Schizosaccharomyces pombe: one gene and its partners. The protein of the gene in region 1 binds, or shares a complex with, the protein of each later gene. Each region holds a gene or a part of one and is shown in the gene's direction. Other genes may lie near its edges.

Region 1 (6,263 bases):
TCGCCGATATAGCTAGTAACTGAACCGGGGGAACGAGGCTCGGTTGTATATCTATTTTTTAAAATCCCTCTAATATCTTTTATCAACGTGTATATATGTATAAGGTGTATAAATGACTGCACTTACTAATAAACTAATTTTAAGTATATTCTAACATATGACATATAGTGCTACGCAACGCAGTATATCGTAGCGTAGTAAAGTCTGACACGCTACTATAACATTTCATCTCTTCAAACATTATATTATTATGCTATTCATTATTTTGTAAACATTAATTTTGTTTGAATTGAACCATTAAACAAAAAGAAAAATGATAATTAAGCTTGATTCATTAAGAATCAAGATGAAGGAGAAATGAATGCAATAAACGACAATGAATTTGTAAATTTAACAAGGCGGAACAACGAGTTTTTCGATTTCATTAGTTGATTTTAAGTTGTCGTAAACAATTTAAACCATTATTGTTTGTGACTTGAGTTCCATTAGAAAAGACACATAATTAGACTCGCATATAATAAATAAGAGATTCGAATCTCAATGCATATTATCCAGATTATCCAACATCGCGAACCATTTCAAGCGATGCATTAGTTTGACAATTTTTGGTAACTGGAAGAATGAGTTAAGCATATTTTCCATAAACTTATAGTGAAAGATGATGATTAAAGAATGTTGGTGCTTATGTTTTAAAACGCCGCAGCTTCTCTGCGTTGGTGATTTTCGTAAAGAGGTTTTCCAGCTGTAGAGACTTTCGAAAGCACAACTTTAATAATGCAATTTAAACTTCGCCTTCGACATCCATTTCCCCCAAGGGAATGTTATTATTATTATCGTTGCCACCTCTAAACGCATTTGCTAGCCCCATCATCGCATTTCCTATCCCTCCTAGTCGGGTAAGTAAAAAATCATTCATACAGTTGGTTGAATACACATACCTAAAATAAAAGCTATACCATTCCTGATAGAGTTTCGTGTTCTTATGAGTGCACCTGGACATTCTGGCATGGTTAGAGTAAACTTCAAGAATATTTAACGAACCCATTTCGCAAAGAAAAAGAACATTGCCCATAATAAATAGCACAGAGGCTTCAATTTCACAACCTGTCCATTCAAAATGTTTACCACGTAAAAACATCGTACCGTTTAGTACCAACACGATACCACTTTGTAACAAAAACACTTTTGCCAACTTAGCTAACGTACGCTCGAATGTCCAAAATGGAATACAAACTGTTTGTCAGCGTTTAGCATTGTAACTTCACTTACCAGATGATACAATTAAAAGTAAAACAGCCGAAATAGTGCATGTGGAATAGATGAGAGCCTTATTTAAGTTCAGATCGCCAGATTTGACGCAACCAAAGAGTATACAACAAATGATTAACCAGAGTAACCAAATTATAATCATCATTTCTCTTCTTATGTTGAAAAGGCCAATAGAGATCACCTTTACACATTGTGCCAAGAAAACTACAGTCACCTTTATACATTGTGCCAAGAAAATTACAGTTACTTTGACTGCCTTGATCCAAGTTTCATAGAAGTCTAATGAGTTAGTGACTGAAGGTAAGAATTGACCTATCGTGTCACTTACACCATAAAGAAATAAAAATCATTAGGCAAATAGCACACCACACTCCAAAATATACCCATTCATCTTTGCCATAATCTTTAAAGAGAGCGTCCTTATACGTTAGATAACAAACTGCGGGTACGTTTAGCACAAAGATTGAAATGAATGATAAAAATGCTTTTTTCAACGGAGAGGTAGAAGAATTATCTGCCGTCCCGGAAGAATGGTTTTCTCTATGTGTAATAGAAAGACTGTCTTCACCATAATCCGGAGGAGTCGTAGACTCGTCCGTATTAAATAAGTTAGGGTTGTTAGCTCCCATTTGTTTGGGATCCTTTAAATTTATATTTTCTATATTGTTAGCAAAATTCAATGGTAACTTTAGAATATTTTTTAATGGGAAAGGAAAAAAGAGCGTGCCCTGTTAGACGAATTTATACTCGTAATATGTCAAGTTGTAAACAAACAAACACAACAAAAACATTGTAAATCAAAACAAACAGACACAGCAAATAATCCTTGACACACTCAATTCTTTATCTTATCTACCAACAACACAACACTTACCTGAATATGGAGGCAATGTGCTCCCATCTTCTGAATTGTATTCTGGGAGAGGACCTTTTTCCAAATCAATTTCATTATCGTTTTTTGCACTCAATTCATCCATAGACGACCTCAAGGGGTAATATTTATTCTTCATTTTCTAACGACAGTCTATTATTTAATGATATACACACAAATAGTTCAATTGTTGTGATTGCGACAAACGAAACAGCAAAATCAAGAATATTCACTCTGTAGTCCAATTCCAATCGCTTTAAAGACTTTTTAACAAAATAATAAAATTGTTCAAACAAATTTCCAACTAATTCCTTCAAACAATGGCATAAAAAAAGAAGAACGAAAAAACTGAACGAGGCAGTGAATTGCTTCTGACACATTTATTTTGTCACTGCCCTTTTTATTCACCCCAACTTAGATTTCCTTAAAACGTTTTTGAGAAGCAAAACGTTGTAGTATAATATAATGTCAGCTACGCAATTTGGTATCTGCTTTAACGATTACATAGAACTGCGGTAATTTTTCCTTTGTGACCTATGATATTACAATACACAGGTACTATAAGTAGCAACTGAGTTTAGGTATTGTACTATCAAGTTGTATTGTTATCTATTGCAAATACAACTTATAATTGTGTAAGGAATGAGGTTTAGCAGTAACTCTATTTACGTTGTTTAGATGATTTGGATTTTAATAGATTATTGTTAAAATTAATATCAACATCGTATCATCTGCGGTGCGATATGTAAATGGAACATGTGAACATATAGTGACACTCAACGTACTGTATCATAACTAATCTCGGTGACAGCCTTAATATGATTTTTTGATTTCGTAAATCCTCGCAAAAAAATGTACGAGCTCCAACACAATACCGTGTAAATGGGCTTTGCCTGTACATGACACATTCTTCTGTTCGCTGCATCTTTCTTACTTCATCCAAAAGCGTGTAAAACGAGTCTTCTCCCGATTATAATGTTGTTTTACTCATTTTTTAAGACATTAATAGACACGGAAGTTACCGTGGAATTGAAGGTATGCCCCTACTTGGCTTTTTTGATCGCGTTATGAGGTTAACCAAACTATAGAATGATATGAGTATCCGAGGAATTTTGAAATCTGTTGACCAGTTTTTAAACGTTAAGCTTGAAAATATTTCTGTGGTCGATGCGTCGAAATATCCTCATATGGTATGCTTTGCAAGTTATCGGGAATTGAAAGAGAAATAAATGATTTCTACGATCGGTAGGGTTCGGTTTATTCATTTTATTTAGGTTTTTGATTGATTTTTGAAAAAAGTCTTGTCCAAATCGATTATGTACAACATCTTACATGAGAGGAACATGAATCAATCAGCTTTCCCAACGTATATGCTACATTCTCAACTTTTAAAATCTAGGTTTTTCATTAATTGAACAATTTAAGACTGATCATAAAGTGCGCCTCACTTTCTGAATTCTTCGATCTATCCTTTTTTTTTCGTTCCTACTCTTAACACTATCTCGTGCTATTATTCCAGAGTTATAACTAATAATTTATTAGGCTGCTGTTAAAGATTTGTTTATTCGTGGTAGCGTTGTTCGTTACGTCCATATGTCAAGTGCATATGTTGATACTATTTTATTAGCTGATGCTTGTCGTAGAGGTAAGCCATGATTTGTTAAACACTGAAATTTTAGCCTTATTAACTCACTGGTTTTTAGACTTGGCTAATAATAAGCGTCAATAATTCCTTTGAAAATTTCCTTTTTTTGGTCAATATATTCGGAAACCGTGAACTAATTGCTTATTTAATCGTAGTTCGGTTATTCATCATGTGTCCCATTGCGATTTTTTTCATGCCCGCAAAAGGAATATACATGTGTATATACATCATTTTATTAAGGACCATTGTTGTTTGAAGGTATTTTCCTCCCCTTTCATTCATCCATATTCTTACTACCTTTTCGCTTTTCTTTTAAATCCAGCTTCCCTATTATGCCTGAAACCGATCCCTTAAAATTACCGTTTTATTATCTTCAAAAAAAAAAATTAAGTAGAAAATTGTTGGCGTTTACATGATTTTTGTGTACGGCTTCTTCCATTAATATAGTTGATGAGACTTTGTCAATTATCATAAAATACATACATCGTTACATATCGGTTTATTGCTGCGAGAGGGAATTTTTAGCACTCATGCATCATTAGCAACAGAGCGTTTGTATTACTTTAAAAGATATCCACTCAGATTTGTGTTTTACAAGTCTAATTCTTCTTCCAATTTATTTTACTGATTTCATTTGTAGGATTCAACCGATCTCACCTTTAAGCCAATCAGGCACACTCTCTTTCATCGTTTTTTTAATATATTTTGTATTCTTTTAAGATCTTCCCAGTGAATGATACGATTTTACTTTTTTAGTGTTCTTAGTTTTATTCTAAGTTAATCATGAAAAACGTCTTCTTTTTAAAAATAATTGAAATGTTCAGTAGTAAGTTGAAAGTAAAATCGTATTTATCTACTACATACGGTTGAGCAGCATAAGTATGATATCGCATTTGCTGCCAACTACCTCACTCACCATCCACATGCCATCTATCATATTATATCCCATTTACTTTGACAAGAGCCGTCCACGTAGGTTTCGTTGTGTACCAAAAGACAAAGCAATTTTAAATCCGTTAGCTAAAAATATTGCCGATGTTGTTCGCGATTTGGGATATAAATGTAAATTGGAACCATTGAAGACACATCCTGCAGATTGGGTCAATCCAGGTCGAGTCGAAATGGTATTACCTGAAAAAATACAAAGTAAGATTGTTATTAGTTTTATTTTCTCGTATGCTAACTGACTGTGAATGTAGAAAAGTATGTCATAAACGAAATCGCCAAAGTACTACTTCTTCGCCCAACTGTTAAGACAGATCCTTTATCGTTACCTATTCAAAATGTTCCCGCACGTCTTCCTGAAAATCCTCCTGCATATCCTAAGGGGGTTTTAGGAAATACGATTTTACCTCTTCATTCACCTGCTTTATCTGGCGGTGGTATCTCTGAAAATATGTTCCAGGAAATGATGCAGGAAATGCAAAAGCAACCTGGATTAGCTGGAGGTATGAATCCAATGGCTGCACTTGCTGGTATGGGAGGCCCTGCTCCTCCTATGCCAACTCCCCAAGCATCTTCAAGCCAGCGAAAACAAAAGTCAATTGAACCAGAATATGATTTGGATTTGGAGTAAACTTATTGTTTAAAACTGAAATATTAGGAATATAGGTGCTTTCGACTATTAGCAAACGCTCATGGATATTAGTAAATTTTTTTTCTCGTCATCTTTTAACAAAAAATTTTTTCCTAATAATGAGTATGGATGTAGAGTTTCATTAAAGATGAGTTCATTTGCACAGCACATTCTGCTTTTTTAAGACTGAGTTCTGGTGGCATACTTAATATTTTTCTGTCTTTTATAAATGTTTCGCCTCTCGTTATATCAGAAGCTGTTTCATTGTAGTTTCTTTCATGCCAATTCAGAGGCGAAATTTTTGAATATTCTATCATTAGTAAACCATGTTTGACATAGTCGTTTTCAAAAGTTTAGTGTGAACTGTATAATTAAATTCTTTTTCGACAACAAATAGCATCTTTTTCGTACTTCAATCCGTATATTCAGGTAAGTTTGATGACTCTCTTTCCTGAAAAGTAATAAATCGCTTTAAAGCTTGCAAACACTAACATGTGAAAGGTTAGACTGGGTACTTTATCTAAAATCTTACCTTTCTCTTCTTTTCGTCTTTAAGTATATTTGAACTTGGATTTGCTTGTAATCGTTGATGTGCACTTCTTTCATGAATACCAACCATAGTAACTCCAATAGGCCAAGGTGCATTTCCAATTGTCAGACGTAAATACATATCATTGGCTTTGACAAATTCGTGTTTTTGGCATCTGTAACAAATTTCAGCTATGCTTTTAAAAATATCGTCGTTTAAAGCTTCATCGACTATCAGTTGTATAAGTACATCAAGATCTTGCTTAGCTTGACGAAATATTTTTAATTGCATCTGACTCTCAGAACTTTCGAAAGAGTTGATGGATTTTGAAGACAAAAAGTTGTCCCAAATGCGGATTCCATGTTGAAGAAAA
Region 2 (5,956 bases), on another chromosome or scaffold:
TGAATATTTTTTGATGGCCGATAGGCTGAATGATGCGCCGTTGATAGTAAAGGTGGTTCTTTTGAGTGACTTAGAAAGTTGGACAACTTTTTTCCTTCATATTCTTCTTTTAAATCTAAATATACGGGGCAATGATCTGAACCCATGACCTCAGCCATAATATCTGCATCTTGAACCCAAGGTAATAAATCGGGTGTTGCCAAAGTGTAATCAATTCTCGTACCTATCCATTGTAAAAAAAATAACAATTCAGAACTTACCATAATTTGTGGGCCTTGTATTAAGTCTTGTATTCCAACATGTAAACATTCCTTTCCGAGTAGGATGTTGAATACGGCCAATGTCCAACAGTAGTCCCAACCTGCTTGGTAGTAATAAATCACGTATCCATTGTCTTGATTCCATGATGCTTGGAATAAGACTCTCTCGAATAATGTCTTTTTGATCAGCAGTGTCAATAGGATTACACAAAATATTCACATCCCCAACGAGAATGATTTTTCGATTTCCTTCCTTTATCAATCTTTCAATTCTTTCTCGTAAGGCTTTATAAAAGGCCCGTCGATATTCTAGTCTATTTTCTCCAGAGTTTACTGGACAGTAAACACCGATTAGGATGAACATCTGAAAATCTAATAATATACACCTTCCTTCACTATCAATCCAATTAGCAGTTTTTCTGTCAATGTCTTTTGGGAAAAATCCTATCTTTTCATGCTCCGGTGCTTCTGAATATGAATATTTTTGTCCTCGTACTGGCAGGATGCCAGTAATTCCCTCTTCTGCTTTCACTGGAATAGCAACATCTTTTTTTACATAAAATCCAACCCCACTATAGCCTTTTCTGATCTTAGGAAATGTAAAATAACTGTCGAATCCCTCAACAACTGCATATTGTTGAGGAAAGCTGTCTTTCTGCATTTTCAATTCTTGAACACATATTACATCAGCCTGTAACTCTTGAAATATCTCTTTGTAGGAATTTTTTTTATTCCATGGAAAATAATTGAATGGATTCTGTATACCGTTCACATTCCAACTTAGAATTCGCATTCTTATAATTTTTACGTAGAGAAAGTGTGCGAAGGTAAAGGCGACAGACTTTTGAATTTACAATTGTTGACATAAGTTAATCTGATGGAAAATAAAATGCATTTGTTTAATTCGAGAATGAACTTTTTCTTTTCTTTTCGACCTTCTCCCTATTGAATGTTGATTTTCAAAAAAATTCTAGATTGACTAATATTGAGTTACAACTGTAAACAATCTAATGATTCTTTCTAAATATATGTCATTAAACGAGTATACATGTTGTGCTAGAAAGACATTATCTCAAACTGCTGTTTAAAAAAGCTATGTTTGGATACAAGGATGTAAATTGGGGTATTAACAGGTATCCAAAAAATCCATTAAAAAATAAAGAAGGTTTAGTTTTTCGTGTAAAAAAATATGATTAGCTCTCCATGTAAGTTAGGACTATTGACAATCTTCATATACATTTAACCAACAGTAATTACGAAGAATCATTAAGTTGAAGAGATTCTTCTGAGTCGGATTCAGAGCTATCTTCAATTGGGTTTCCCGTAGCATCTGTAAGATGAATGGTTTCTATTTGAGGAGATTCTGCGTTTGCGTCTAATGTATCATTCACTTCTTCGAGGTCCTCCACATCATCAATATTTTGCTCAACTTCATTTTGTGCTATATCCTCCGCAATTCGTTCTTCTTCTAATTCGTCTTTTTCTTCATCTAGAGGAGTAGTGTCATGCGCGTCTATTTTGGCTTTCTTTCTGTTATCAACATCTGATACGTTAGGGAGTTTCAATCGTTTTTCTTTCAAGGCAAGCTCATATGCTTTAATAGTTAGAAGAAGTACAGAGTAAGAAACATACCTTCGAGATGTTTTTTTAACGTTTTAGAGAATTCTGGATACTCAATTTCATCGAGCGCATTCAAAACGTCTTGAGGCATAAGAATTTTTCTGTTATTATTCGTAGCAATTTCCCCAGAACTAAGTAACGTTAGTCTTTATTCATTCATATACAAAGTGTTTCCAGAAGAAAATAAAATTGGCAATTATATAATAAATTCTTTCATCATACAAGCCCTTCAATATGGTTATATAGTTATATAGATTACATACGCGGATGTTAGAAAACTAACAAAAAGAGTTGCTGAATTGATCATAGCCTTGAGAGCTTCTTTTTGTACAAGACTCTTTTCAGGTAAGACACCTTTGACTAATCGCATAATGATCGATCGAGGAAGCGCCAGATCATCCAATTCGGAAGTTTCTTTCGATTTATCTTGATTCATATTGATTTTCCAGCCGCTAGATCTTTTACAAACGCTGTATACAAGTCTTTTATAAATCCAATCCAAATATCATCCTATGGTCACCAAACGATAATCACAGAGAAAGGCGGTTGCTTCTTTTTAGCTAATTAATGTATAATAAATTCACTGAGTCGCCTATTTCTGTCAATTTTCACTAAACACTATCTGTGCGTTATGAGCAGAATCCGAGAGAGCCTTAGAGTTGAAACATTTGTAGAAATGCTATCAAATTTCTTAAAACTAAATAGTTGTACTGTTTTGTTTATATTAAATGAGTAAAAAAAAAAGTTTTTTAGCGTTGTTAGAAATAAATAAAGCTTTTTGATAACCATACAATACATTATTAAAGGCTCGATTTTTGATTGTAATTAATAGATAAAAACAACTAAATTTATTATCTTTTTTCAGAACACTCCAAAAACGTTCAATGAACGTTCTAAGAGAATAATAGGCAATCTCTTCTCAGTCGAAATAGCTCAGAATAGGGATATTACAAATGGGATTGGCAACATTTTTACAAGTTCGATTTTGGAATTGATAAAAATCATCAAATTATTTATTTCTGTTCTTCGCAAAATGTTGAGCCTTTCAATGAACTAATCCGCTTATGATGCTGAAAAATTGTTAGGTAGCTTGAGTATAATTAGATTCCCTTTTTACAATCTGTGATCAAAAATATACATGTTTTTGTTCTTTAATTTTTGTGAAGACCGACTTCCCTTTATAACTAGAAAGTCAGATTACAACATTCAATGATGGGCAAGTTTAGAAATGGAAAAACCAAATAATTTAATTTACAATTAGCAAAAAAACATAACAAACGAATAACATTTAAACTTCAGAAGCACTTTTAGGGTTAAACAGGGAGAATTTAGGATTCCAGATTTGACGACCTCAGAGCACTTGCTTCTAACCATCTCCTCGAACTCGTTTTTTAAGGAAAACACTCAAATAAAGTCATCAGGCGTTTATAAAAGAAATAGAAAGTTAAATCTAAATTAAATTATTAGTTTATGCTACATCCAAATAATAGCTGAATGAATCAAGCTACACAGATTATCCCATTCACAACTTCTGGGTCACTTGTTGACTACGTAGACAGTACGGTGTTTTTTCCAATGTTTTCCTTGATCTAACTTTACCTTTTAGGAAAAGTGATTGTTGTTTTACGAGATGGAAAAAAACTGATTGGAATTTTAAGGTCCTTTGATCAATTTGGTATGGTTTGCGTGAATAGGCGCATAAGTGAGTTTACTAACTGTGTAGCAAATTTAATGTTGCAATACACGATTGAGAGGATCTATGTGGATGATATGTACGGGGACATAGACAGAGGTGTGTATATTGTTCGGGGCGAGAACGTCGTGCTTTTAGGTGAATTGGTAAGTTTCGTTTGTAACATAAAATATTCGAGCATCTTTATAAATTTCTTTGAACGTGGGCTAAATATTTCGAAAAGGATTTGGATAAGGAGTATGATGCAGTCAAACAATTGCGACGTATGCCTGCTGAAGAACTGTATCCTTTGGCGAAGCTTCATGAAGAAGAGAAGAAGAAAAATATACGTGAGAAGGGCAAGTACCTTCATTCTGTAGGCTTTAGTGTTGACGGCGGACATGATGATTTGTATTAGACAACGGTTGAACAAATTTATCACAATATTGCTATACCGTTTGTTTACAGTCACGATAGAAAGCTATCTCGACCGCTGTTTATTCCCCTTTTAAATGGATGTAATGTAATTTTTAAGACATGAATCGTCATAATCCCATTACCGTTCGTTCAAAGTTTAGTAATCATTGTGCATCTTTTAAACATGCAGTTTTTATCTTTGTCTTTTTTTTGGGGTCCGTTAATACCAGAGATTCGTCAAAGTTCTGCTTAGAAATTTTGAAAGTAGAGGATACGCGGTCAACCGCTGGGTCAATATCAGATGCTGGCCAAATCCATTCTAGTAAAACCATTACAAGATAATCTATAGCTATGAGTAAACAAAATAGCTTACCAGCCCATTGCCCACATCCGTAATAAAGCTTTAGACGGTCTATTAGTCTAAGATTATTCTCTGAACATATACTGTCGTAAACCTTTTCTGTCCTTTCCGCGACATCTATCCACGAGTACATTTGCTTAACCTCCTCATGGAAAGTTTCGGTTTTGATTTTATGGTCAAGATAATCAGTAATAACACTCGAAAGTGTATCAGCTAAATCATCCTCTTCAGGACGGGCGAATCGTGTCATGTGGGAAGGCAAGACTTCAGGAACACCTCCCACTTTTGTAGAAATCACATAAAGACCACAGCTTGCGGCTTCAACTAAAACAGTGCCGAAAGCTTCGGTCAAACTAGGATGTAAATAAATATGACCCCTGACCATCACATCACGAACTTGATCATGTCTTACAGAACCAAGCATTTCAACGCGATCCTGTAACATATACTTTTCTCGCATTTGTTCCAAATCGATTGACTTGGGTCCGTCGCCAGCAATAACAAATCGTACTTTAGGGTGTTGCGCACAAATTCTGGGTATAACTGCGATTAAAAGATCAATGCCTTTGTTATAGTAAAGCCTTGAGATTACTACTATGGTTACTAAAAATGTTAGATTTTTTCCTTAATAAACGAAAAAACTCACAGAAATCTTTTGAAGCTTTAGATGGGTCTGGCTGAAAGTTTTCCGCTACTAAGGCATTGGGAATCACGGATACTCTTTTTGGATTTAGAACTGCACGAAGCACCGTATTTTCGCGGCTTCTTAGTTAATAATTTAAATACTTGCTCATGAGATACTTACCAAGTGTGAGAGACACAAATAACATGATTTACATCGCTCATCGTAAATTTTAATAACTTATTTGTAACGATGCTGCCAGCATCTGCAAAACCAAACAAAGAGTGGTCGGTAAAACAAGTTTTCAAGCCCATTGTACGAGCATGCAGAATAGCATCATGGCATAGAAAGGATAAACTGCCATGACCGTGGACTATTTCGATATTTTCTCTAATGACTATATTGCGGAAAATTGGAAAAAAGGAAAAAAAGGAAGGAAATGTTGTTTCACGATACACAGTCTGCATTGTTTAGTTTCAACGCTATGCGCGATCAAAATTTCAATTAAAAACTTACATGTAACGGCACGTAGTAAACGGTTAGCCCATTAGTTAAGTATCTGACGCCAACTCGATCCTTATAAGCATGTGTGATAACTAATATAATGCATGTTAGAGCATGTACAAGTTGACATTATCATAAGGCTAAACGCATACCAATTACTTTATGCCCTAAATCAATCAATCTTTGAGAAAGCTGAAAAATATGGCTTTCAATCCCCCCAGGTTGAGGAAAGAAGAAGTCTGATACCATTCTAAGCATACAAAGTTAGCAATCTATTGAACGTTGGGATTTCAATCTAAGAGAAAAGGTGATTTATAGAAGCTTATTGAAGCCAGTATATTATCATAAGAATGTTAAAAAATAAAAAATGCTATAGGCTTCATTTTGTACTAAGAAAATCTCCTTAACAAACAATATTGATTGTGAAAGTTGCATTTCAAAACATACGCGACCCTGTATCCCATTTTAGATGAATTTTAAACTTTTTTATTCATTCAAAG
Region 3 (5,794 bases), 330 kb from region 1:
GATCGGTCTTTTTTCAATTAAGTCTATACCTAAAGGCATATTGGAAACTTGCTATAAAAGTTTGAAATAGAAACAATTCTCAGAATATTACTTGAATACGTTCTCTGTTTTACTCCCTTTTTTTTTTACTCACAAAGAATGTCACACTGCAGTATCGAATTGCTTTATTTGTTCCTTTGGAATAAAAAGGTAGATTTCCTTTTATTACAGCAAAAGATAACAAGACTAATAATTAAGCGGCTTTGTTTTTACCAGGAATTGCATTTTATGACACTACGCAAAATTAGAAATGTAAAAAAGCGCTTTCGAAAATTTCCTTTTACACTTTCATTATCAGGATTGACAACCCTATGAATTCCTCCGTTAAAACTTCTCACCAGCGGAATTCGATGAAGGTTGATGTTAACAGTATAGACTCAATAGCAACATTATACGAAAAATCATAATAAATTGTGAATAACCTTTTATTAATTGAGCGAATAAACATAGAGTAAATTTAATTAAGATTAATAATTATAACTAATTTTGAAGAAATTATTATAAAGAAAATAAATACATTGAACATCAACACATCCCCTTCAATTCATATACAAAGTGCATTTCTCGATTTTAGGACTAACTTGAAACACAACGCACAAACATTTCCACAACTTGATCTTTGGTTTTGGCGTGAAGGTTGTTAGTGCTAAGCTATACATTACTCCTTATACTTCATCGGTAGCAGGCATGGAGTGCATTTGATAAGCTTGATTGTTGGATGATGATGGACTGAAAACATTACCAGCCGCATCATACGAGGTACCATCAAAATTTATTGGAGGTGACCTATTTTTCGATTTGTCGGGTCTATTTGTATCGCCCTGCGTTGTTGTACCCGCTGAAGACTCACTAGCTGCATCCCAACTAATAGTTGGCTGCGATGTAGAATACGACGGAGGAGGAGCCAAGCTTCCAACCGCAGGAGCGAGTCTCCATTTCTTGATGTTTGCTTCAATAAATACATATCCTGCTTGTCCAAGATTGACATGTAAGGTACAAGGTCCAATTGCACCAACCGTAGGATACAAATTTCGATATGTACACGGCAGTTCTGCACACCGACGACCGTTACGTGTAAAGAAGATCCGATTGCACTTCGGTTTGTAACCAACACCAATTACATCTCCCTGCTGGTAGAAAGAGGAGTACGGTTTTCCCGTAAATGGTGAATTACTGCGGCGTGTTCCATCCGACACATAAGCAGTAGACCAAAAATTCCAACCAGGCAATCGAAACGGCGGATATGGCTTGGTAGCCAGACCGATGGAAACCAAGGTATCAATAGGTACGTCTAAAAGTTTTACTTCAAAATAGTATACTTCATTGATCCTCTGCAAAGGCAAATTGGTTTGCATGCAACATTCTTCGTTGCCCAAAAAAGACAATTCAGTTTTATTTTTAACATAGCAATTATATTCCTGATTTGGGATAAAGTGCCATGCTAATACGCCCTTCTCTTGAACTTGTAGGAAGTCAAGCAGCTTTGCATCCGTGTTGACGTTAGATTTCATGGAATTCAACTCAAACTCACGAGCTTGTAAATACCGTTCTTTCCCCATATCATCCAATAAACTAAATCCTTCTTCATCAATATGTTCATTCTCTAACGCTTCGTCGTCCAACTCACCAGGATTGGTGTTTTTCAGCAAGATCCGTCCATGTCGTGTGTATCGCAGTAATAAGATGACTGACAAAAGACAGATTAAAAGAACAATGACAGCGGCTAATGCAATAAATATGAAAAGGATTGCTAAATTAGGATGGGTGTTTGAAGATTCCTGTAATCTCAACTGGCGAATCTGATCGGGATGCATGACTCAAAGACGCAAAAAATAATTTTTTATATAAGATTTGAAAAAGGAAAATCTGCGAGTGTATATTTAATAGAGAAATAAATAACTGAGAGTAAAATCCTAGCTATAAGAGGATATAGTATAGGGTTAAGAGAAAAAGGATTTTTCTCTCAGATATGCAGTTTATTAAGCACGAGATACAATATTTAAATCTAACGTAGATGCAAGTATCTCAAATATTGCACTAATATGGTTTTTGCGAATGCTCAAGGATTGGGCGAAATGGTATACTTGTTTCAAGTTTACAGGAGAAAATACAAACTCCTTTAAATAAATAAGATATAATTCTTAAGATAAAAAAGAATTTATTCCTGAAGGAGCCACAATGGCCTGTTGTAAGGTAAAATCGAAAATCAGCGGCAATTTACCAGATAATACTGCTCCGTCACAATTATGCTTATAAGTTTTCTGTTTTTACAACCATAGATTGGAATTAACCAAATTTTTATTCGAAAATTTACTTTGATTCGTTCAATGTTTGCTTCCGGATTTCAGATGGTAATGGGAAAAGGAAGGTTACGAAGCACCACGTAAAGGCCACATGGATACTACTCCGTCCATTAACCAACAACACCTACCATGTCAGGGTCTCGAAAACAAGAAGCAATAGACGAATTAAGGAACTCTCTTGATGTTCCTGCTGATACTGCTCAATCTGTTTTGGAATCATTTAATTGGGACGTTCAGGTATGTGACACGGCAAGCATTCATTTTCAGTATTCGATAGTGATCAATTGCTTTGATTGAAAAATTCCAAGAAAGTTGTTATTTGCAACTGAACATTCATGGAATCCTCTGGTTGTCGTTTATTTTTCTAATCGAATTTTCGGTGAATGTTGGGACTGAGCCATTTTGCTAACTGTTTTATGATTAGGAAGCGATCGAGAGTTTAACTGGAGAATCGTCAAGAGTCGATAGAAATTCAAAGCTTGGATTAAGTTTCGGCGTCTTTCAATCTGTTTTTTCTTTGCTATTCAGTGGGTTGCACAAACTATGGATGATTTTGTCAAGGGTTCCTCTGATTTCAACATTTATCCCCATTTTTGGTACTACTAAGCGTGTCCTTTCTCCTGCAGACACTGCGAACAAGCTGGTTCAGAATTTAGAAGAGCAATACGGTACTGAGCATATTGATTTTTTTACTGATGGCGGCTACATGGAAGCGTTGACACGTATTAAGCGTAATTATGGAGTCGCATTGCTTTTCTTTACTAGCTCAAAGAATGATGACTCTGAGACGTTTTCCAGGAGTGTTCTTATGAACCAAGAGCTAAAGGAATTTTTAAATCGTCGAAACATTCTTTGCTGGACTGGTGATGTTTGTGAGGATGAGGCTTTCCGAGGTTCTCGTCAATTCCACTGCACTAAATTTCCCTCCGCAGTCCTTGTTATGTATTCACCTCAGCTATCTGAGCTTGTAGTTGCCGCCCAACTCCATGGATGTCTTGATAGTTCCAGCATCATTACCAATCTAACTAATGCTTTGGCTAAACATCTTCCTTCTCTTGAGCGTTTCCGTTCGGAGAGAGAAGCACGAGAAGCTGCTCGCGAGTTACGACGTCAACAAGACAATGCCTATCAAGCGTCCCTTGCCCGCGATCGCGAGCGTCAAGCTTTCGCGAGAGCAGAAGAAGAGCGTCTTGCAAAGGAGAAAGAAGAAAGAGAAATCGTTCAGAAAAAGAAAAAACAATATCGTGCTTGGCTTGCTTCTAATCTTCCACCGGAGCCATCATCTGAAGATGAACCTGCTCGTCTTTCGATCCGTTTTCCCGACGGATCTCGGGCTGTTCGAAGGTTTAAGAAGGATGATACTGTTGAATCCGTTTACAACTATGTGGATTATATGCTTTTTGAAAAAGAGGAGCCTGAAGAATTCGGTCGCGCTACTTCATCTTCTAATCCGGTCACTCCACCAAGTGACTATAAGCATGATTTTCATTTTCAACTATATTCTTCTTTGCCCAGAGCTTTGCTGAAACCATCAGTGGCTATTTCTACTAACAAAGCCATCTTTCCAAATGGCACTGTGGTGGTGGAGCTGGATGATTGAAATTAACAAAATTGTTTGTCTTTTTAAATCATAATGACAATTTACGACTATCGACGTTTCGAATCCGTTTTTAAATACATTTCTAAGATTTGATGTATGATGAATTTATTTTCTCTTTTCTATTTCTACTACTGAATTAATTGTTGTTTATGGCATGAATGTCTACTGGACGCATTGACTTTTTATTTTGAGCAAACTTTCAATGCACCCTTTAATCTGAGTACATAGTCGATTTCCACTAGATTTTCTGTTCTTTGCCAAAAACCTTTTCTATGCATGTCATCTTCATCTCTGTTTTCTACGATTTTCTTTGCAATGGAGGACAAAGGCTAGTAATTTAGGCTTTGTAGCATAAAAGTTTTGCCAGCTTTCGTCTGTGATGAGTGAGGTATGTATTATGAACATAAATTTGTTTAAAATATAAATCTTTCTTTATTGCAATTCGAAAAAGTCTAGTGGCTTTGTTTCTAAACAGCTTAAATTTTACCTTTAAACTTTCATTAATGTTAAATTTTTATATAATTAATATACAAATTAGTGCATTAGATTCACTTTATGTCAAGCATTATGACCCCAAGCATGGAATTTCTCAACGTTTCTAACAAAATTGGAAAAGTAAAGCGGTGAAATTATTTCCTTTCAGACTGAGCAAGTTTATTTTACATTCCTTTCTGTAGCGTGTTTTATATTCCATTTACTGCTATGTCTTAAGTCATTCAAATTGAACCATATAAGGATACGTTCGATCACGTTACAATCATCGTAAAAAGGAGAATCGTCAAGTTGAACCTGTACTTTATTCTTTTCTGGGCAATAGCTGATAATTTACCTGGTTATTCTAGATACAAAGAATGTCCAGTCTTCAAAAACGCCCTGGCCCAGGTAACTCTAGTCAACCGACGTAAGTCTAGCAGGAACGAGCAGCATCATGAGTTTTGCTAACTTTCTTAAATAGTGAAAGACCAAGAAAAGAATCTATCCTTGATCTTTCTAGATATCAAGATCAACGAATTCAAGCCACGTTTACGGGGGGCCGACAAATTACCGGTATTCTAAAAGGATTCGATCAGTTGATGAACCTTGTACTTGACGATGTAGAGGAACAGCTTCGCAATCCTGAGGATGGTAAACTTACTGGAGCTATTAGAAAGTTAGGTCTTGTAGTCGTTCGTGGAACAACTTTAGTTTTGATTGCTCCCATGGATGGTTCTGAGGAGATACCGAATCCATTCGTCCAAGCTGAATAAAAAGCCACAAGCCCTTCATTTGATGTTTGACTATTGTTAATAAAATACTACAAGTTAATTATTATACCGCATGTGCATGTTTTGCTTTGAAGGTTCAAAGACCCAATTCGGAAAAGTGTAAAAGCAATATGTGTTTAAAAGAATAAATTCGATTATTAAGATGATTTTCTCTACGCATATGTTTAAATTATTTAATCCATGTTTATTCCCAGTTAGCTTGTTATCACATTGCTATATAATTTATCTAGTCTAAATAGATATATGCCATTGAATAAAAGTATATTAATGCCAAAAAGTTTAGTTCTTTTCTTCCTTCAAAACTGAAAATGAGAATTTAGGTAATTCCTGGGTGCTTTCCATTGTAGAGAGATTCTCCCCATTCTCTTTTGGCAAAACCGTGAACGAAAACTTGGGAAAAGGTTCCTCTTCTAGGGAACCTTGTTTGTCAGTTTTTTCGAGCGTCATAGTGGCATCTTGCTTATGTTCATTCGTGCCCTCAGCAGAGGGTTTCTCGACTTCAACTAGCGAAGTCGATTCCGATACTGAGATAGGGCTTTTCTCAGCTTGCTCAAAACTCCGTTGATCAATAGCAACGTTCGTCATCT
Region 4 (5,212 bases), 130 kb from region 1:
GACAATTTGATATAGGCCAGCCCAAATTATTATAAGGATTAGAACCCCAGAATTGTTAATGTAAGCTAACACCTCAAAGTTTCGTGATGCTTATTATTAATCTTAATAATTGAGAAACACAAAAATGCTGTCTCAAAATATTTTTAAAATTTCCTTTTACGAACAATGTTCAAAAAACCCTTTCAACCTGAGTAGTTAGTAAATCGTAGTTGAAGAGAATGAGGTAATGTGCTAGCTCAATAAGGAAGACCAAGAGATGGAAAGAGGTAATTAATTATCTTCTATTAGACTTATTAATTTATAAAAATATGTACATCATTTAATAAGTATGCAAAATAACCATCATTCATAATTGGAGTATTAGTAAAAGTTTGTCTTAAATGAGAGCGCTAAAAAAAATTAAAAATAAAAATGCTTTGATAATTTAGTCTTTAATTTTCTATACTTTATAAGCCATTGATTAATTTCTTAATTATCTTTGGATTTTAAATTCGTAATAATAAGATCTCAAATTCAAATACTTCATAAACCCATTTACAAATATGTTAGATTAATAACAAATTCAATTTTAAGCTAACAATAGAGCTTATGAATCATAATATTTATTCCGATAACCCTGAAGACACAATTTCGAGTTTTATGAAGTGTCTGAGAAGCCAGTTGATTGCTATTCTGTTCATACAGAAAATTTCGTGATTCATAGCAAGAGGAAAGAAAAAATCTCAAATTTTTTTTATTTTTTTTTAATTAATATTATTACATATTTAGTTGATCGATCAAGAAATCGTTGAGCGAAAGTATTAAATTCATATATTCTAAAACAATACACTGTGGTTTAATTTTATAAATTTAAAATAACTGATCGTTACGAGATCTATTAGAATTTTAAGTCTTCTTATTATTGATATCTACACCTTTTTTGTTTTGAAAATATATAAATCTTATTTTTTTTCTTTCATTCTAATCAACATCCTTTTTTTTTTTTTGAAATTGTTTTAAATCAAATGTGTATTTCATTATATTGTGACTGATAAAAATATGTTTGCGAAAGCAACATTTGAACAGATTGAGTAAATAGGCTATGATATAGTAAATCTTTAAATTTAATTTAATTCTCAATACCAAATAAATATTTCTTCAAAAAGGGTTACAAATAAATTAGCTATACTGTGGAGTATATGATATATCGATCCCCCTGATGTAACAAATATAACATATAACAATATGTGTTTAAGTATGAGTATATTCAGAATACATTGGAAATAACGAAAATCCAAATGAAACATTAAGCATAAATTTCTGATTTCTAACTTGCCCTTTTTATTTTATTTTATTCATCATAGTTGTCTACTATTCCAACACAAGTTATGATGTTAATGAGTTGCTAGAATGTTTATTTGCGAGACAGTAGTATAAATATCCTTTCGTAGCTGCTGTACGTTATAACGAACAACTTAACTTTCTTAAATTTTTCTCAATAAATACTTAAATTTACATTGAAGAATATAGCTGAAAATAAATAAACTCACGATGGCAATTTCTCAGCCTCTTTAAGTAGATTTGCTTTTATAGTCACTATGATCTACTGGTTTAGTTCTGTGTGCTGCTTCGTCAAAGTTGTAAGTCTTCGCTTAATTATTAGCGAAACTTTATTTTATCAGATAGGGATAATATCCAAGAAAATTGTACTACCAAGCTGCTTTGAGAAGATAATACAAGTACTGAGATGAGTGTAAAAAAGTGCCAAGGAAAACGAGCTGCGCCCTTTAACTTCATCTGTCTATATTCTAAATGCCACCTTTAAAACAAAAATCTAACTTGTCTTATAATGTAAAAACCCTAAAGCTTCGCACTTATGGTGACACATTTAGTACAAATTCTTTCTATTCCATACGTTCTTTGCTGAATAAAGAGCGAAGACCGTCCCCTTTATATTCGAGCCGTCATTAATTTTTCATTCAAAAACTAAGATAGTAAGGCACATCGATAACAATCTAAAGTTGTGAAAAAATTCTTATAAAACGGAATTCTTAAATACTTATTTCTTCCAAATTATTTAAGCAAACCTTCAAAAGAAGAATTATCCTTCAATGATTTAAACTCAACAACTATCAAATGAAGTAATTCAAGAATATAACTGTAGTCAAATATATACATCTATATTCCCCACGTCCATAAGATTTGTATATTTGTTTACAACGGGTATTTTTAGTTAGAAGAACGGTTGCTTGTAATGATGAGGAAGGATTCGTGAGCCGGATATAGCTGGAATAATGTTCAATACCTTTTCCTTTAATAGATCTATTTTACAAAATAAATTTCGTTGATTAATAAAACAAAAGATCATTTAAAAATCGTGCGCTTCACAAATTACTTTAATTTTCTTTTGACACAAGATTGTGTTCCTTTCCAAACTAAAAATATAATTGGGTTACTTCTTATATTGATAGCAAAGTTAGCTTCAAAATTTTAAGACAAAAAGGTGTTTTCAATTTGATTAGTTTATTAAAATTCTTGATTTTTTTGTTTTTGCTGTATGTTTTATAAAAAGTATCATGTCACTTGAAATACATGCTGTAAGACTACCTACTTTTGTTTAGCACTACCATACTGTAATACAACTAATACTTAAATCACTTTATCATGAGTCTTGCTGATTTTATGGAACGTAAGTGTCAAATTTTCAATAGAGAATGAAGTGACTAATATAGATGTTCGTTAGAAAGGGTTCAAGTCATTACAAACGATGGTCGCGTTGTGCTAGGTTCCCTGAAGGGATTCGATCACACGACCAATCTTATACTTTCAGACTCATTTGAAAGAATTATTAGCATGGATCAAGACATGGAAACAATTCCTTTAGGCGTTTATTTATTACGTGGAGAAAATGTGTAAGTGGACGCAGAGCCTTGTACTGGCGGTACGTAAATCAATAATCTAATAGTTATTTTTAGAGCAATGGTTGGATTAGTGAATGAGGAATTAGATTCAGAAATAGAATGGACCAAAATTCGAGGTGAAGCAATACCTGACGTTGTGCATTAATACAAAAACCGGACGTTAAACTTCAAATGAGAACAAACGTTTAAGGCTACATAGGATTTGGGTTAATGATTTTTTTGTTATATTTCCTCTTTGTGCGGGCGAATCCTTTGCAAATTTTGTTAAGCTTTCCACGATATATTCATACCTTGCAGCATGTCTTTTATCAGGAAGCTATTAGCTCGTAGAAAGAAGTGAAAATTCTTTCTTTATTTTTTTAAAAAAATATGACTGAGGTTGTAGATTAATTCTGATGACAAAGAGTTGACACTTGAACGAAAATACTTAAAAAAATGGTTTAAAATACCGAGTTCGAGGACATCGGTTCTTTCAGAATTTAAAAAATTCTTGGTTTCTTGTTAAATTTGTGGATCACAAACTCATTTTTCTTCTTATTTTGTGGGTTTCATCTTTCTTAAATGATTCTTGGGAACGTTAACATACCTTTGTTTCCTTAATTTGATTTATGCACTTTGATTTTGAAATTTGTGGTCAACTTGTTTAAAGACTTTATATTTATCATTGATTTTTGTTATTATATGGAAAAAAACATCACAATTTATATCATTTACTGTGCATAACATTCTTCATTTTTGCTGTCACGCTTAATGTTTACACTGGAAAATTTCTCTACCTTGAGAAATATTTCAGCATCATGGTCCAATTTACAAAGATCATTTGAGTTAAACAAAAAAAATGATTTATTATATTTGCTGCTCATATTTTTTTTTTAGTGATTTTTTATTTTGGCATCGTTTTGTGAACTTACTTTCCAAGCTTTGGGATTATCAAGAAAAAATTTTTGTTGAAAGAAGAGCAGAAAAACTGTTTGATAATTAAATGCCTTTGCAATTTCATTTTCTCAATTTAGCAAAATAAACTGAAATTTCTGCAGCAGTGACTTTAGGTTACATTGTAACCTACAGTTTACAACGACCTTTGTGCTTACAGCAACTTTTTTTCAATTAATTTTTTACAGCCATACAAAACGGACTTGATTCCTTTATTTTTAGTTTATTAAAGCCGTTAAATATGAATTTGGTTCTCCCTGGACAGGTGGTCGCGAGAGGGGCTCCTAACGGTGAAGGAACGGTAAAGAGAGGAGATTATATTATTTCCACACGAACTGGCATCTTTGATCCAGAGAAAAATTCTGTAACGTACCCAAGAAAAGTTGAAGAGACAGCCGTTTTACCTAATGTCGGATCTATTGTTTTAGCTCGCGTCAGCAGGATCAATGCTCGTCAAGCAACTGTAAACATCTCAGTCGTTGACGATGTCTGCACCAAAGATGAATTTCAAGGGGTAATACATGTGCAGGATATTAGAGCTACTGAGAAAAATAAAGTCAAAGTGCAAAATTCATTCCGACCGGGTGATATTGTCAGAGCACTTGTAATTTCACTTGGAGACGGCTCTTCGTACTTTTTAACAACAGCTCGAAATGATCTTGGTGTGATTTTTGCTCAGTCTAGTGAAACAGGAGAGCAAATGTTTCCGGTGGATTATCAGCATATGCAAACAAAATCAGGATATACGGAAATGCGTAAATGTGCTAAACCTATATTAGACGAATAAAATGAGGGGATAAAATTGCTTTGTTTTGATATAACCTGATAGTTTTTTTTCCCTCTCGGTTCGTTCTTTCCTAACAAAAAAAAAATTCTGAAATTGTTAGAGATTTTATGATACGAATATACGGAACACGGATAAAAATAATATTGAATATAGAAATATTGGAAGTTCATTAGAATGATGATTGAGGTGACTTGCTGTCGAAACCGATATCATTTTCAATTAGAAGTCAAATGTATAGTTTTATAAGATATAGAGAACCTTTGTAATTCAACTGAACGGACAGGAGCTCTGAAGTTTCTTAAAGTTATTTACTTAATGGAACTGAATTGGTCGGTTGTTTATAAACTCTAATTCATTAACAAAAACATGAATAAGGAGTTTCTAGCAATAATATGTGTTATGTTTACAACTTTCTAAGAAGGTTACTGTATTAAGTTATTTTGTGTAATTTAATATCGAGGATTGCACCTTTCATTGGAGGCTGTGATATCCTGAAATAACATTTATGATCACAGATTTAAGGATGAAGTATTTAATGACATGAAAATTAGTATTCGTACACCTCTCAGTAACTTTTCAAAACTACTTTCAG

The links.
Region 2: lsm2 (region 1) and lsm1 share a complex: the UniProt entries of both Schizosaccharomyces pombe proteins name them as parts of the heptameric LSM1-LSM7 complex.
Region 3: lsm2 (region 1) and lsm7 share a complex: the UniProt entries of both Schizosaccharomyces pombe proteins name them as parts of the heptameric LSM2-LSM8 complex.
Region 4: lsm2 (region 1) and lsm8 share a complex: the UniProt entries of both Schizosaccharomyces pombe proteins name them as parts of the heptameric LSM2-LSM8 complex.

The regions. Positions count from the first base shown.
Region 1 is NC_003421.2:2,141,777-2,148,039, reverse strand, and holds lsm2 (U6 snRNP-associated core protein), read left to right. Parts: upstream 1-3,054; 5' UTR 3,055-3,115; coding exon 3,116-3,175; intron 3,176-3,228; coding exon 3,229-3,330; intron 3,331-3,682; coding exon 3,683-3,785; intron 3,786-3,843; coding exon 3,844-3,869; 3' UTR 3,870-4,091; downstream 4,092-6,263. Other genes in the region: wtf meiotic drive antidote Wtf23, read right to left, coding at 782-888, 939-1,001, 1,042-1,233, 1,270-1,548, 1,598-1,927, 2,144-2,279; putative signal recognition particle subunit Sec65, read left to right, coding at 4,709-4,931, 4,985-5,361; U5 snRNP-associated protein Prp18, read right to left, coding at 5,774-5,848, 5,894-6,263. UniProt on the Schizosaccharomyces pombe protein: Component of LSm protein complexes, which are involved in RNA processing and may function in a chaperone-like manner. Component of the cytoplasmic LSM1-LSM7 complex which is involved in mRNA degradation by activating the decapping step.
Region 2 is NC_003423.3:1,282,503-1,288,458, reverse strand, and holds lsm1 (mRNA-decapping complex subunit Lsm1), read left to right. Parts: upstream 1-3,242; 5' UTR 3,243-3,374; coding exon 3,375-3,438; intron 3,439-3,486; coding exon 3,487-3,555; intron 3,556-3,603; coding exon 3,604-3,719; intron 3,720-3,796; coding exon 3,797-3,970; 3' UTR 3,971-4,121; downstream 4,122-5,956. Other genes in the region: AP-endonuclease Apn2, read right to left, coding at 1-223, 261-1,053; DNA polymerase epsilon subunit Dpb4, read right to left, coding at 1,514-1,854, 1,893-2,011, 2,144-2,316; pig-A family phosphatidylinositol N-acetylglucosaminyltransferase subunit Gpi3, read right to left, coding at 4,134-4,933, 4,977-5,092, 5,136-5,413, 5,469-5,548, 5,609-5,705. UniProt on the Schizosaccharomyces pombe protein: Component of the cytoplasmic LSM1-LSM7 complex which is involved in mRNA degradation by activating the decapping step. The LSM1-LSM7 complex loads onto the 3'-end of single stranded RNA.
Region 3 is NC_003421.2:1,813,631-1,819,424, forward strand, and holds lsm7 (U6 snRNP-associated protein Lsm7), read left to right. Parts: upstream 1-4,735; 5' UTR 4,736-4,793; coding exon 4,794-4,843; exon of another isoform or gene 4,844-4,897; coding exon 4,898-5,189; 3' UTR 5,190-5,294; downstream 5,295-5,794. Other genes in the region: SPRY domain membrane protein, specificity factor required for ubiquitination Ear1, read right to left, coding at 705-1,853; dsc5 (UBA/UAS domain-containing protein), read left to right, coding at 2,472-2,579, 2,767-3,942; nucleoporin Nup60, read right to left, coding at 5,487-5,794. UniProt on the Schizosaccharomyces pombe protein: Component of LSm protein complexes, which are involved in RNA processing and may function in a chaperone-like manner. Component of the cytoplasmic LSM1-LSM7 complex which is involved in mRNA degradation by activating the decapping step.
Region 4 is NC_003421.2:2,275,259-2,280,470, forward strand, and holds lsm8 (U6 snRNP-associated protein Lsm8), read left to right. Parts: upstream 1-2,619; 5' UTR 2,620-2,643; coding exon 2,644-2,668; intron 2,669-2,722; coding exon 2,723-2,891; intron 2,892-2,954; coding exon 2,955-3,045; downstream 3,046-5,212. Other genes in the region: exosome subunit Csl4, read left to right, coding at 4,075-4,620. UniProt on the Schizosaccharomyces pombe protein: Component of the nuclear LSM2-LSM8 complex, which is involved in spliceosome assembly. The LSM2-LSM8 complex plays a role in the biogenesis of the spliceosomal U4/U6-U5 tri-snRNP complex by accelerating prp24-mediated annealing of U4/U6 di-snRNA.